Linked DNA regions of Callithrix jacchus. The protein of the gene in region 2 interacts with the protein of the main gene of each other region in a biochemical or structural test. Links are inferred from orthologs where the notes say so. Each region holds a gene or a part of one and is shown on either strand. Other genes may lie near its edges. The genes, in order: CD24 and SELP.

Evidence for each region.
Region 1: the proteins of SELP (region 2) and CD24 form a complex in vitro, tested with the Homo sapiens proteins (2 studies listed by BioGRID and IntAct). The link is inferred for Callithrix jacchus from reciprocal best matches to the Homo sapiens genes SELP and CD24.

The regions. Positions count from the first base shown.
Region 1 is NC_133505.1:113,102,357-113,106,713, reverse strand, and holds the start of CD24 (signal transducer CD24), read left to right. Parts: upstream 1-1,509; 5' UTR 1,510-1,592; coding exon 1,593-1,661; intron 1,662-2,725; exon of another isoform or gene 2,726-2,807; intron 2,808-4,357.
Region 2 is NC_133519.1:32,863,366-32,867,175, reverse strand, and holds part of SELP (P-selectin), read right to left. Parts: intron 3,586-3,810; coding exon 3,495-3,585; intron 1,805-3,494; coding exon 1,418-1,804; intron 1-1,417. UniProt on the Homo sapiens protein: Ca(2+)-dependent receptor for myeloid cells that binds to carbohydrates on neutrophils and monocytes. Mediates the interaction of activated endothelial cells or platelets with leukocytes. The ligand recognized is sialyl-Lewis X.

The DNA.
Region 1 (4,357 bases), on a different chromosome or scaffold from region 2:
ACCTTAAATAAAAGGATTGTCTTGCAATTAAAAACTGAACCAAAAATCCTGAGAGAGTGTTCTGCAAAAGTGAAATTTAAACAAATTTACAACCATTCTAGGTTTAGTCATTGCTGTTTGCTTTAAAGACTGAAAAACACCTGGGCTAAACCTTCAATAAAAAGATTAAGCCTTGCAATTAAAATTTAAACTCAAAATACTCCACCAGTAAAATTCCTTCAGCTTTTGCCGTATGCTTTAAAGTTTTCAAAACAGGATGGATAGGACAAAAGTATTCCACCAAAATCTAAAGAGTAATGACGAATCTCCTCTTTGTGCCAGTTCATTAAATTGCCACGTGGCAACTACGGATAAGTAAACGGCTTTATCCCGAACGGCTCTGCTCTTTAAACGAATGACTGGCAGCAGAGACCGAAAAAGTGTGTCCCCAGGAATTCGGAAGGGAAGGTGAAGTGTAGCGGGTCCGCCATGAAGGGAGGTTCCCGCCCCCTGAGTAGGACAGGGCGGGGAAGAGGAGTAGGAGCCGCGCGGGGAGGGCGGTGGGGCCTTCAGGGCCGGAGAGAGGGGGGTCCCTTCAGGGTGGGCGGTTTCCTCCTCTCCCGCCGCAGGCAGGAGCGCGGGGGACCCAAACCCCACAGTTTGCAGCGTCAGGCAGCGGGTCTCCAGCTCCTGGGAGGATGAGGACCCGGGACGCCCACTTGAGCTCACAGCGCCTGGCGGACACGAGGCGCTCACAAAACAAAGCAGGGGCTTCGGGGAGGGCGCGGCTGCTGGGCCGAGCGCGCAGATCGCCCAGGACCCGGGCGCCGCCTGCGAGCCCCGCGACCCTCCCGGAAGGGCTCGCGCTAGGCGGCGCCCGGGTCCCGTCGGCCAGGGTGAGCGTCCGGCCCGCGTCCCAGCCACGACCGCCGCGTTCCCCTTTCCTCTGCGGCGGGCAGAGAGATAACCCCGCCCGAGGGGCCCCGGCGCCCGCCCCCCAACGCGGCCGCACTGGAATTCGCGGCCCCTCTCGGGTCCCGGGGCGCATTTTGCAGTCTGGGTGGCAGCGCACTTGCTCCGGGACCAGCGGCTGCCCCGCCGCGGCGGAGGCGCGGACTTTTCTTTTGGGGCGTAAGATGGCAGGTCCCGGGAAACAAAGGAAACTTGGGCCCGGCCCCCGGCGCGGCGTGTGTGGCTCGCGTGTGCGCCCCTGGTGCTGTGTGGGAGTCGCTGGCGCCTGTGCCAGGCTGCCTGCAGCCCGCAGCCGGCGGGGGAAACCAGCCGGGTACCAGCAGCCGGCTGCTCCCGCCCACCTGCAGCGGTGGCCGTCCGGGGGGCTCCCGGTCCGCGAGGGCCCCTGCGGAGGTGGCGGCTGCGGGGGAGGGGGCGCTGGGGAGCCTGGAGCGGGGCGGGTAAGGCGGGGAGGCGGCGGGCGGCGGCGCAGGGGAGCCGGGGTGGGCGGGCGGCGCCACGTCACGGCTATTGTGGCTGTCCTGGTATATAAGGTCCCGTCGGCTCGCCGCGCTCCCCACCTTGCCTGCGCCCGCCGGGAGCCAGCGGTTCTCCAAGCACCCAACATCCAGCGAGACGCGCCGCGCACCGACGGAGGGGACATGGGCAGAGCAATGGTGGCCAGGCTCGGGCTGGGGCTGCTGCTGCTGGCACTGCTCCTACCCACGCAGGTGAGGCCCTGGCGCCCGGCGGGGCTCGAGGGCTGTGTCCAGGGTGGGGGCGGGGGTATGGACCCGGTCCCTGGGGACCGTCCTGCGCCCCTACCTCGGGCCACGGACAGGGAGCGGGAGAGAATCTTGGTTAGCTGACCGGGGAGAGGGCCATGTGGACCCCACTTTCCATTCCCTTGCATGCTATCCCCCCTCCCCTCCCACGGCCCTGGGAACAATGCAGCTCCGCGCGCGGGCTGGGAGGACCCTGCCCCACCCAGGCTCCACGCTGTCCCTTCCCAGGCAGCCAGGTGCCTACTGCCCACTTTCACCCAGGGGCCCGAGGTGCCTGCAGGGTAGAGCGCCTTGAGAGCTCAGGCTCCGGTGAGACGTCGTCGCGGGTCCCCTGAGCACCGGCTTTCCCCTAGGAGTGTCTTCGCGCTCCCAGTGCTCTACACAAAGAGAGGCGACAGTCCGCTTCGGGAAGCGCGGCTCACGCCCATCCTCCACCCTCGGAGCTGGCTTGGGGATCCCGGGGAAGCTCTGGTTATCCGGTCCTATCATAAGCCCCAGTCCCGGGAGGTTTGGGGCTGAAGTCGAGGCGGGGACCCTCTCCTGACGTTGCGCTCTCTGCGGTACAACCTTTCACGTCCAACGCTTGTCATCTTAGGAGCCCCAGGTTATTTTAGCCCAGTTTGGCTAGTTCTGGGGAGGCAGCATGGTGGGACGATTCTGTCCCGAATCCCCGCCAGGCTTTGTCTGGGTCGTCGCTTCCAGCGCTGTCTCCCCAGACCCTCTATCCGGGGAACCTCGCCCCGGGTGCGGGTACCGGGGGCCGCGCAGCGCTGCCTCGAGGGTGGACGCGGGCGAGAGAGACCGGGGACTGGGAGACCCCGGTGGGGGCGGGGCCGGGGGCGGGGGCGAAGAAAGTACGTTTCTTTGGGGCAGTTCGGGTTTGGAGCATGGCATTGACCGCTCTCCAGCGCCTTCGGTTGGGGTAAATCGAGGACTGTCCCTGGGGCTTCTCCCCCAAAAGTTGGGCGCGCTGGGTCCGCCGTCCCCAGGCATCCAAAGTCTGGGCTTACCTGGGAGTGCAGCCTGAGAGTGTGGAGCGCTCTTCCTTACCGCGGGCCGAGTTAACGTACCCTATTGTCTTCCTCCCAGTCCGCTGCGCTCCCGAGCCTTGCTCAATTCTTTGGTGGGGGAGGGGCGCGGCCGGGAGAAACCGGCTCCCTCCACTCCCCTCCCCATCTCCTCTCGGACCAGATTTTTTTTCCTCCAACATTTTAAGTGAGAAGTTTTAATAACGCGAATAAATCTGGCTTGGAAGAGAAAATTTTGTTTAGTGTCGATTTAATAAACAAAAATTATTTGTTGTTGGTGTAGAGGATCTTTAGATTATCGGATCAATACACTGGGTTTTAAAAAGAAAACATCACCTGCTGCACTAAAACTCATTGTGTGAATAAAGAACAGGTTACTTTCAGGGATTCCCAAATCAGGTCTCCAATACAGGCACCCTGTCTTAAGTAAATACCACATCCATGCTTTCCTTTATTGGGAGTGCTGTTTCCTGATGGGACACACTCAATCTTGCACACAGTAGGTGCCCAATAAATAAATTTGACTTGATCAAGATTTTTTGTTGTTGTCACTAATCTATTTTGGATAGGATTTGTATATTTCTTTAGTCAATATTTGTTTAATGACCTTATGGGTTTTACAACAAAAGGAGCTGGTGCTGATGTAGGAGGGCTTTATCTTTGGATTAATAGGCAGCCAAATGTACATGGGGCCCAGACTCTTGCCTGGTGCCACGTCCTCCCTCCCGCCTGTAATCAGAAGCCCTTGTAAACCCTCCCTTGCAGTGAGGGCTGAAAACTCCGATCTGCCTTTGTTCCATGACAAAGGAGAGATTATCACGTGCCCTACTGGACTGTGCATTTCGTGGCTTGAAAAATCAGTGGTGAATGATGCCACTCAGACGCTGGGACACTGGGGGAACCTTGATTCTTGGCCACAGCACTGAGCTTAGTGACCAGTGAGGCTGCTGTTTGTGAAACTTAACACCATACCCTCTCGTCCTCTTTTGTGAAATCGTCCCGACTTCATGGTGTTTTCCTGAAGTCATTCTGCCTTAAAGGAAAAATTCATTTTCAATTTAGCACAAATACTGTGGCCATTTTTTAGAAGAGTTATTATTTCAGATTTTAAGGGAGTAGATAAGAGTCCAATTCCCCCTTAAGGAAAAGGCAAAGTTGCCAAGGCTGTATTAAATGGATATGGGTAAGTTACCTAGCAAATCCAGGATAGACAGTGACCCAGTTAATTCTAGTTCCGTAAATCTCCGTTACAGTATTTAAAATCCGTACTTTTTTGTACAACTTTAAAATCTCTCCTTTTCTGGGAAAATAGACATTATTGCAATGCCATTAAGTCGGTATAATCTCAGAAACTGAATTAGTTAACTTGGTCCTTTTTTCCTTTGCAAAGAAATAAAAACAGGAGTTAAAGTTATTGAATAACTTTTTTTTGTTCTTGTTGCCACTGGGCATTTGAGGCATCCTAGCTTGTTTTGAAACTAGGTGAATGACCTAGGTGGGCTGAGCAAGAATTCAGAATTTAATGATGTGGGTAAGAGACTAATGGTAAGAGAACAGTCTAAGAATGTATCACCTACTTTAATTTTATATTAGAGCATGTGGAGGTAGCTGTGA
Region 2 (3,810 bases):
GGTAGAGAGCTGACTGCGAGAGCAGTAGGATAATCTAATATCCCGATAATGTCCATCCTGGTCCAGGAATATATGGTTATTTATTTATTTATTTATAAATGCATTATTTATAAAATAGATCTGATTATATGACAATGCATGCATGGATATGTTTTCCCTCAGCTAGGAGGCTTGGGGAGTAGAGGGAAAATGTAGGCTTACTCTACGCTATGTATTCAGTACCATCCATGTACTGTTGAGGGCTGCTTCTGAGGGAGAGGTGTTTAAAATCTAAAGAATTCAGAAAATGTATGGCAGATGATTTACCAAAGAAGCTTCAGAGTACTTAGAAGCTTCCTGCTCAGGGCAGTCCATACCATCCTTAGGCACAGTGTTCATGTGCTGTGAAGGACAGGACAGGCCCCTCCAGACAGGGAAGCAACATCAGAAAGAAGGAATCAGCTCTGACACTAGGGTCATGACTAGAGGAAGACCAAGCTTTCGTGAATGTCTACTTACTCTGGAACTGGGAAAGTTGAGAATTAAAATACACTCAAAGTATTTCACCTTCAATTACTTCTTCCCATTTCCTGCCCAGCCCCTACCACCACTCTCCCACCAAAGTTCAGTGGATCTAAAGATATATTGTTGTTGAAGAGAAACTAAAGCATTTACAATCCTTAGTTATAATCTCAAATTGTCTATAAAAATGTAGAGCAAAGAATGTGGTAGTTTGTATGTCTAAAAAACAAACTTTGGAATCAACATGAATTTGAAACTGGCTCCACCATCAACTAGCTTAGAACCCTGGGCAGATGACTTAATAGCTCTGAGCCTTTCCCTCATCAGCAAAATAAGAGTAATAGAAAAACTTGATTGCTGGAGTTGTCATGAGGACTGAAGGTGACTAATATTAAATGAACAAGTGGCACATGAACTAACACAATGCCTAGAGCATATTGACATTCAGTAGGTATTAGTCGCAGCTGTGTCACCGAGGGGCCGGGCTAAATTTTCTTCCAATTTATACTCTCTGTTATACAAAGCACAGGGGTGAACAAAGCTCTAGACCTAAAATTTGGGAGACAGGTTTCTGGTCCTCACTTTGCTTCTGTCCTCCTCCACGGCCTTGAGAAACTGAAACCTTGTGCGTGTCCTTTTCATCAGTTATAAGATGAGACAGGTGAGCTGGATGATATTAAAATTTCCCCCTAGTTTTAAGTAGCCAGTTTTCTCTAATTCTGATCTTACATTCTTCAAGGTGCTCAGTAATGCTGATTGACTAACAGTTTACCCCTTGATTTCAGGTCCTGCATTTGTACCTTTGTGTTGACTCGGTGGTTACATTGGCCAACCAGAGAAGGTTGGCTAAAGTAACCAGAGAAGGTTCTGTTTTTCATTTTTAAACAGAAATGTTTCAAAGTAGAGAAGGCCCTACCCGTATAACATAATGCGCGCTTTTTCTTCAAGCAATGCTCATCATTCCACTTGCCAGGGGCTGACGGACTCTTGATGTAGATCTCCACGCAGTCCTCGTTGTTCCTTTTGTTGTTAGGCTCATTAACAGCCCAGTTCTCAGCCTCGTCAGTGAGAGCCTTTTTGGTTCCCACCCAGGTCCATGTCTTATTGCTCTTTCGGATCCCAATCCAGTAATAGGAGCTGTAATACGGTAGGACCTCATTGAGGTAAGCAATTTCATTTTTATTCTGAATGGCCACTAAGTCTGTGTAGCGATTCTGGCAATATTTACGGGAAATATTCCATGAGTATGCTTTTGTGCTGTAATGATAGGTCCACGCTGCCACTTCTTTCTGGTTTGTTAGTTCTAGAGTAAAGGAGAGGGAGTGCCGGGTTAGCAACCTTTACCAAAAGGAGGTGATCCCAAGCATGCTTCTGCATAGTCAGGTGAGTTTCTGACCAGAAGATGAATACCAAAACTCGACTAGTTTATATCTAATGTAGCTGTTTGAAGGAAAAGGGGTGGTTTCCACCTTTCAGTTAAAAGTGTACATGAAGTCGCAGGAAAATATCATCTTGTAAGTATCCTTGATGTTAAAGATTTGGAATCATAAGACATGAGAGTTGGGAGGTACCCTGGAAGTCATCTAATTCACTCCTCTTTTTGTTTTTTAAATAAAAGAAGGAGACATTTTAAGTCATTTGCCCAAGCTCAGATTAAATGACATAAAAATGTCTTAAGGGCAGGCTCTACCTCTTCACATGGAAAATAATATGCTTTATGATCTGGAGCCTAACAGTTGGTTCAGCCTCATCGCCCACCATATTTCAAAACAGAATTCCTCTGTCCTTGAATTTGCACATGCCCTTCCCACTGTCCTGGCTGTCCTCTCCTCTTATGTCTGGTAGACTTTACTCCCCCTATTCTCCATGGCTTTCCCAGGTGGACCCTGTGTTCCTTCCTCCAGGCAGCACCTCTTCCCTGTCTGCATTGCCCTCATTATCATGTATGGTAATGTGTTTCTTTGATACAGTCTACTTCTGCCAGGTTGTAAATCTCTGATGGTGTTTTCTTTTTAGCTTTGGATCTTTAGCACAGAGCCTAGAGTTTAGCACTTAATAGACCTTCAATTAATGCTTGTGGAATGAGTGAAACACAGCAGGTTTATGGCAGAGCCAAGGTGGGAAATCAGATACGCTGATCTGCAATCTTACACTCATTCCATTTCTCTTGGCTATTTCTCTTTCATTAACCTCTGCTTTCTCCGTGTCTGCATACTCACTTATTAAGCGAGGGCTCAGAACAGCCCTTCTCTACAAGTGTTTACGATACCAAATGAAATAAAGAATGTGTCCTTCAAAAGTATAAAGGTACTACGTACTGCTATCATAGCCTGTGGGAGTTCACCCGGGGCAGGAGGGCCAGTTCCCACATGAAGAGGTGTACAAAGCAAGCAATCAGGCCTGGAAATGGGCTTCTTTCCTGTTTATTTAAAGGCTTGTTTCTACTCAACTCTCTCCTCCGCTGCCTGCATGAGGATTAGTCACACTTGTACGTCCCTTGCTGAGATTTCCAGGGCATTGTTTTGCCTTAAAGACTTTATTCTGATACAGCCAGGGCTGCATTATGATTCATAGACTTTAGGCAACTTTGCCTATGTAGGCTTTTTCCTCCATGCTAACATATTCAAAATTCTATTTTGCAACTGCACTGGTAAGAAGATGAATGTATCACTATATATTAAAGTATTTTTTTGACTTCAAAGAAAATAATTATAAAAGAAATTCAGACATGTTTGTGGGTCCCTAAAAATTTTGTGGGTCGTATTTACTGTGCCTAATGGATAAATTGGTCCCAGATGTATCATTTTAAGTTCTTTCCTATGCACTTTCTATCAATATTACAGTGTTAGGTACATTTTTCTTCCAATAATCTGGACTTGGACAGTTTTCCCATGCCTCAAACCAGCTGGCTACAGTCCTTAAAGTCCTTGCACATAGCTCTGGGCTGTACCCTAATTCCTTAGGGCTAAGTGAAAACTTAGCATTAAGTTTACCAGAGATCAGGGCACTGAAGCAAAGGAGCTGCGCAATTCCAAAGACCACTCTCAGGGATCTCTGGTACAAGATGGCTTTTTGGCAGCTGGCCTGAAACAAGAAGAGAATACATTCTTTTAGCATCCATATGCCACCAACGTGGCCAAAAATAATTCTCGTTAATAATCATTTGGCTGAAGTACAACTGTGCCAATTTTCATTGGACGGGCAGTTCAAGCCCTCTGCTTCCTTCTTGCTTCTCATTGCCCTGCTCCTAAGTTCTACGCTGGATGAACACTGTAGCAAGGCTGGTGACAGCGTTCATTTCTCCATCCG